Tribolium castaneum: one gene and its partner. The protein of the gene in region 1 binds, or shares a complex with, the protein of each later gene. Links are inferred from orthologs where the notes say so. Each region holds a gene or a part of one and is shown on either strand. Other genes may lie near its edges.

Region 1 (2,706 bases):
ATCCGAATCAGAGAAATTTTTCGATACTTTTTTTTCAGTTAGGAGCGATTTAAATGAAACACTTTCTTTGTGAAAATCCGAACTGTAACTATCGTCACTTTTCTGCAACTTGTAGTTTTTCAATTTATCGAAATCGAGCTTTAGACTTTCACTCGAAATGTCGGGAATATTTTTCGAAGTATCCGACTCACTACCACTATCACAATTATTGAACAAATTTTTCGACACTTCTCTCAATTCTAAATTTTCCACAGGCTTCAAGTCGAGACATTTGTGCGAAACAAACGATCTCAACTCACTTTTGGCACTTTTAATCAACAGTTCTTTAATTTCTTCCCTCGATTTTGTTTCCAGGGGCGGAGTCCCGGAATTCTGCACCCCAATGTCGATAAAATTCCGGGGCGAATTCACAGCAAACTGCAATTTTCTCTTAACTGTGTTTATAAAATTGTACGGATACGCCGCACAAGGGGGCTCCAGCCAGGGCGCCCCCTTGTCGCACGTTTGCGTCTCTTTCGCCTCAGACGACGTTTTCGCCAATTTCTGGGGCTCCCGGGCCTTGGCCCTCGAAATTCTCTCGCTTTTTTGCGTCTTTTCGGAGCCCTCAGAAACTTTTTGTGCGGGCGACTTCGAGCGGTCGATTTTCGGGGGGCCCCCCTTGTCCTGTGACTTCGGGCGGTTGGTTCGGACAAGGGGGCCCCCTTTCTCCCGCGCCTTCGAGCGGTCGATCCGGACAGGGGGCTCGCCCTTGTCCCGCGATTTCGAGCGTTCGCGCTTCAACTGCACGTTTTTTGTCACCAGCTCGAGTGTTTTCTGGTGTAATTCTTTCAGTTTTTGCTTTTTCAGATCGAGTTTATTGTCAGTGGTGTTGATTTGGGCCCGCAATTGTTCGGCGCGTTTTTCCCGCTGTTTTTTGATGTAGTTACGCGCCTCGGTGACGTCATAACTGCGGGGCTTTTTCTCGGGATCGGGGGGCGCCTTTTTTTTAACGGTTTGGGTATCAGGGGCTGGCTTGTGGGTGGGGGGCTCAGGGGGCTGGGTCCCAAGACTTATGAGCTTCTCTAGCTCGGTTTTGAGCTGTTCGATCTCTTTTTTTGTGTTTTTTACACGAGTGCTGACATTTTCCACTTGGCTTATGGACATTTCTGAACCCCCTTTTTTTAGCGAATTACGACTGGAAATTGATTAGACTGACGTACAATTCACGAATTGACCCACATTTGTGTTAATTTAGGTGAGAAAATGCAAAATTAACTCACCTTTTTCACATATTTTCAAAACGTCAACCGTTTATAACATAACCTCAATAACCAAGGCCAACAAGGGTGAATAGTTCAAGGCCCCCCACCAAAACTGCAAAAAACAGCCCCTAAAATAAACCACCCCATTCGTCACGAGCCCCCCAAGCTTAATTAAACAAAAAACACAAATTTATAATTATTAGGTGACCAATAATAAACAAATTAATGATTTTTTAATCAAAATTCAAACATGGCGGTTGGCATTGCGCATGCGCGTTTTTTGTTTTTGGTGGGAAAAGTAATTTTGTGAATTTTGTGACCAAATGGCCGAAAAACTGGAAGATTTGAATTTGCCGAACATGACGGTGCAAAAGATAATTAAAGACGCATTGCCTGAACACGTCAGTGTTGGTAAAGACGCCCGTTCGGCCCTGTCAAGGGCCGCTTCAATTTTTGTCCTGTACATAACCTCACAAGCCACCAAAGAGGCGCAAAAAGTGAACAGAAAGACTCTTCTGGGTCAAGACATTCTAACAGCGTTAGAAGAGCTCGAGTTTGACGAATTCGTGGAGCCCTTAAGTGTGATGCTGAGAGGTTAGTTTTTTTTTGAGGTTATGTTCACGTTTCAAAAACCGACTTCAGATTTCAAAGAAGCGAAGCAGAAGAAGAAAGTGAAGAAGGGGGCCGACGTTGAAATGGCGGAAGACAACGACGAGGAGGCCGTGGAAGAGGAAGAAACGGGAGAATCGTAATAAAAAATAAATTTTTTGTGATAGTTTTTTATTCATGAGAAAAAGTAACAACTGACTAGATTAAGGCCACAAATCGTGCAGAATTCACACTTTAGCAACACTGAGCAAAAAAAGTGACGGCAGTTGAACGAACTATGAAATTATTCTAATTTTGCGTTCGATTGAAGTCCTGCACATTGGACAGTCGTTCAAGGTCACAGGACACTGGGAACAGCAACAGAAGTGTCCACATGGCACGAAAATCACCTCACACTGCAAAAAAAAAACACCAAAATTCGCCTTAATTTGAGATAAACAACATACAGTTGAGTCCAAACAAATGACGCATTCAGTCCCCAAATTTGCGACATTTTCGAGTGGTGGCGCACTTGCCTCTTCGATTGGCAGCACTGGAGCTGAGGGGGCCGTATCGGTCGGTATTTGCTCCTTTCGGTACATTTGGAATGCGTCTAAAATGTGGACCCGGTCCGATTTATTCACAATTCCCACTTCTTTGAGGTCGCTTTCTGTGATTTTTGCAACGTTGCCTGCAAATTGGTTAAAAATCGGGCCAAAGTAGGCACTGACTTTGAAATTTAGGTTGGCAACACTGACGGGCAAATAATTCGGCGTTGCCAACTTAAGCTCGATTTTAATAAAAGCGAAAATAATTCTTAAGAAGTCTTCATGTATGATTTTAAGCAAAAGTAACAATCACTAGAAAAAAATTTGTT
Region 2 (4,582 bases), on another chromosome or scaffold:
TTTTATTTTTTAGGCGATGGTGGCCTGTTACCCCCGGTTTGGGATCTCACTACGTCAAACACGTGGACAACCCAAACCAAGACGGTCGTTGTATAACAGCCATTTACTACCTCAATTTAAATTGGAATGTTAGGGAAAACGGGGGTTTATTACGAATTTTCCCAGAGGGATGGTTAGGTGATAAGGTGCTAAAAGAAATAATTAGTAAATTAAGTTTTTTTAAATGTGATTTTTGGTTGTAGGTAGCTGATATAGAGCCAATTTTCGACCGTCTTTTATTTTTCTGGTCTGACCGGAGAAATCCACATGAAGTCCAACCCGCCTACGACACAAGATATGCAATAACGTTGTGGTATTTCGACGCTAAAGAACGAGCAGAAGCATGCCGGAGATACGAAAAAGAACGTTAGTTTCACAATTTTTTGGAATTTTTGGTTCTGATTCCGTTTGTTTTAGGGCATTCATAGCGCTCGAAAATTGTATCGTGCCACTAACGATCAACTGTGTCCGTTTTGTAACAAACAAACCTAGTACTATGTGATATTTATCGTTTGTTGAAAACTGGTAACAGTTGTGTACTGTTGTATATAATGTGTATTTTTCTGAAAGCTAAACTTTTTTTGATTATTTATGTTTGACAGTGTGATATTTTCTGATTCAAGTCAAATTGAAATTCTTTAATACGTATTGATTTAGGCGGTATTACAATAGGTTATTTAATTCATTTATCGCCGAGGCGACTATTTTAATGTGAATGTAAATAGTGTACAAGTAATTTTCAAGTGTACAATCTAGATTATGTTTGAGACCTAACTAATAAATTTATATGCTATTTTAAGGCTTTCACAGTAGACATTCCTCGATTTTGTCTGTTGCAGGATTGTACGCCTTGAACTGGAACCCGCTCTCACAAAACGAACCCTGAAACATTTTTTTAAACGTGGTCAAGTGTGCTCTGAAAATTGCATGAGCGTATGTCTCTCCTCACACGTACATATAATTATTACATTCAATTAACATTTTAAAATGACGCAAAATTACTTTACAAACATTTTTTTAAACACTAGTTAATGTAGCCAACTTAATTTCAAAATTCAACTTACAGGGTTTATAAGTTGGCACCCTTTGTATTTCCCTTCGTAAGGTTCGGCCTTGTCTCCTATCACTACTAAATCAGGGAGAGGATTTAAACTTAGAGTGTAATCAAAATCCCAATGAACTGTCAAAGCGTTTAAGGGCAAGGGCGACAAATGCCCTTGACTTATTATAGTCCTGGTCAGCTGTAACAAATGCCTCAATTAAAATTCCGATCAGTTTGACCTCAGATATTGAAAATGAGTTGGTAACACAGATTTGCCAACTTAATTTCAAATCACAGTTATTTTTACATTTTCGGACAATTCGCTCTTTTTCGGTTTATGCAATGACGCTTGTAGCAATTTTGGGAGAACATCGGCCCTAAAAATCGTAATTTCCTTATTGCAATATTGCAAACGGCACGGATTAGACGTAAAAACTGCCTTTTTCACCATTTTCGTCATATCTTCAGTTATGCATGACGGAATCGGCAGTCTAAAACACATTAAATAATAAAAAAAGCAAATTAATATTTTTCACCTTGGCACGACGTATGAAGTGCATGGATCCTCCAAACCCGGCACGAAAATAAAATTCGTAACAGTGGCCAAATTCTCGTATTTGTTAATTAATTCAGCTAGTTGTTTGAAAAGTTTCCTCAAAGTGTCCATCTTATTGCTGCTGCAAGACTCTGACATGAAATTCCCCATGAAAACGAACGCCGCAGGCGGGCTGGGGTTGAAACCCTCAAACAGCAATTCAAGTTTTTCAAAAATCTAAAATTTGAATTAAGTTTTGTGGATTTTTTTTTGATCGTTATTACACTAGGGTGGTCAAGCCAAACATTTGAGAAAAACATGAACGAAGCGCCGCGATTTCGTTGTAAGTGATCGCGTAATTTTACGGAGTCTTTGAGGGGTGTTGGAGATGGGCCCCCGAAATAATTTATCGTGTTGAAAAAGGGGCGCGAATTGGCGTATTCCTCCCCTGGGGGTAGAATTAACGTGGAGACTTTGATTATCTTGTCTTCGTAATGTCCGTTAACTAACACAAAACAGTTTTCGGCAAATAAGCCCCCATAGTAACTAAAAATAAAGAGTAAATGAGGCGAAAAAATAAGTGGGGGCTTACACAGCGTGGCTTAAGTCCAGTTGGACGATTCCCGTGGGGTCCTCTAAGTAATATTTGCCTTCAGACACTTGCAATAACGAGCCTAATACCAGAGTATGGTTCAGTGAGACATTCGAAAGTGTTAACAAATAATCAACAGTTTGCAATTCTAATTTAATATTCGTGTTTTCTGTTGCTTTCTGTATAAAATTTCTTTTGGTCCTGTGTAAAATCGTGGCATATCTGTCGGCAAAAAGCTGTGCCTTGGAATCCGCAGAAGACAAAAGTCGGGGCTTATTTTCGGTTAAATAATACTGTTTTCTATCAAGATTGTATGAAACTTTTGGAAAATCGAAAGCGTTTATAACACTGAAAATTGTTTCATTCCTGTCGTAACCAGACTTCAGGCAAACCTAAAATCATTCGTCTAGCCACTGTTTTAACAAATTTTATTTAAAAACCTCCAAAGCCCTGTCTATGTGCTCCTTTTCGATACTGTGCCCCAGAAGGCACTGGTTTTCTAAACTGGAGCACAGATTTTTAACACAATTATCAAAATGGTGTTTGTTTTCTAAATCGATACCTTCTCTGAGAAATTTGGCTACAATTTTGCCACAAAACTCCCTGAAATTACAATAAATAAGTAGTCCAATTTATAATAAAAACACACCTCCGAATATTAAATCCGCCGAATTTTAACGCCGTGTGCAACTTCTTTTTGACTTGTTCAACGTCCATTTCTTTGATTTCTGCTTTGAGTATTTGTAAATTGTGAATTTTTTAGAATAAATAACCTAAAATTATTTCCCGCCCAAATTCTGGTTGGCGTTGGAAAACCCGTATTGCAGAAAAATTGTAAGAGGGAAAGAAAAATTACAGTTATTGCTATGGGTAAATTATTTGTTATATTATAATGCAAAAAAAAGCTTGAAGACGAATTTTAAAACTTATGTAATTATTTTTAGCCAAACGTTTTGAATTTTATCGAGCGTTTTTCGATTTTATGCTTTCAAAGTTGGCATTGCTTTGACGTTCCAAAAGTTTGGTTATTTTATTGTGTTTTTAAAGTTTCGTTTAATTTATTATTTTAACAATAATTATGTGTGCTTTACCGAATTCCTCAACCATAAATATATCAGTTGGTGATTATATTCTGACGCCGGCCTCTTGTGCCTCTTTAGTAAATGAAGTTATGAAAAACCTGTTGTATCAAAGGACCCAAATCCCTTATCCCTATGCTTGGCTCAAGAGCATCGTGAAGAAGAAACGCAAAAGTATTGAAGACGGAGAGGAAGAGAAGAAGACGAATTTTACGCTAAATAAACATTACCAGACTGTTTCAACAGCGTATGATGCTGTTGAAAATATCGCCTTAAACATAGTCAAGTGTTTTACTGACTTGGGGAATAGTTTGAAAGAAGTTATTTTTGTAATTGGCGTGACGCCTGTATGTCCTAAGGAAGTCTTTACAGTGAAGGCATCGTCGCTCGCTTTAGGCCATGTTGAGGGGAATCATGTGATGGAAAATAGCAGAAGGCAGTCCAGGATATTAAGGTAAAACCGCTTTGTTGTACTGTATTTTCAACGCTAAAGTTTTCAATTTTTGCCAGGAATATATTTTTAGAGGAGGTCTGGATGAGTCTAGTAGAAAATTCATTACCTTGTTGTAACACATACATATTTTTGAAAGTTGAAGCGTCTCAAAGTAATTTAAGTAACGTGTGTAATGACAATATATTTATACCATCTAAACCTTTATTAGTTTCTAATAAGATAAAGCAAACTGTTATTAATTTTAATTCAAATTCTCAAGTGTTTTCATGCTGTGATAAATTGGAAGTATTTAAAGATTCTTGCGATGTGGAAGGTCCAGGAAAATGTGAACGTAATTTTAATGAAAAAGACAAAAGTTCAGAAAATGGAGAAACGTGGTTGCAGTCCACAATTGTAATTCGCGGTTTTAAAGATTGTTTTGTAAATAAAGTAGCGGCTTCTGAATTATGGTAATCTTTTAGGGAGTATCAATTTTTAACTGGAATTTTTTATATCTACAATGAATTTTAAGTAAAGAAAATATACCTACATTTTTATGAAAGTGCTTTTTATTAACCTTATATTTAACTTCGTGTTTAATTAAATGAAATCTCCAGTAGAACCCTCTTATCCAGACAAATCCTGGCTTTCCATATTTCCCTTATTTTGCATAAGAATGTTTATGTCGAAACTGCGATATCTCGAATTTTTTGATAACTTGAATGATTGTGAATTCCAGAATCCTGGACCAAAATTTGCTTAAAATCCTTTTTGTTTTTATTGAAAATTATGTATTTTTGCTTGTTCGTAGCGTTACTATTTTCATTCAAGTCTCATATTTCTTTCCTTTTATTTATTTATG

What was found.
Region 2: DNA polymerase epsilon subunit 3 (region 1) and PolE2 share a complex: the UniProt entries of both Homo sapiens proteins name them as parts of the DNA polymerase epsilon complex. The link is inferred for Tribolium castaneum from reciprocal best matches to the Homo sapiens genes POLE3 and POLE2.

Annotation. Positions count from the first base shown.
Region 1 is NC_087394.1:1,508,784-1,511,489, reverse strand, and holds DNA polymerase epsilon subunit 3, read left to right. Parts: upstream 1-1,492; 5' UTR 1,493-1,564; coding exon 1,565-1,835; intron 1,836-1,883; coding exon 1,884-1,993; 3' UTR 1,994-2,009; downstream 2,010-2,706. Other genes in the region: centrosome-associated protein 350-like, read right to left, coding at 1-1,143; E3 ubiquitin-protein ligase LRSAM1, read right to left, coding at 2,126-2,245, 2,297-2,520. UniProt on the Homo sapiens protein: Accessory component of the DNA polymerase epsilon complex. Participates in DNA repair and in chromosomal DNA replication.
Region 2 is NC_087396.1:20,064,823-20,069,404, forward strand, and holds PolE2 (DNA polymerase epsilon subunit 2), read right to left. Parts: upstream 3,060-4,582; 5' UTR 2,926-3,059; coding exon 2,858-2,925; intron 2,812-2,857; coding exon 2,649-2,811; intron 2,601-2,648; coding exon 2,209-2,600; intron 2,163-2,208; coding exon 1,901-2,162; intron 1,854-1,900; coding exon 1,618-1,853; intron 1,573-1,617; coding exon 1,389-1,572; intron 1,281-1,388; coding exon 1,104-1,280; intron 922-1,103; coding exon 844-921; 3' UTR 657-843; downstream 1-656. UniProt on the Homo sapiens protein: Accessory component of the DNA polymerase epsilon complex. Participates in DNA repair and in chromosomal DNA replication.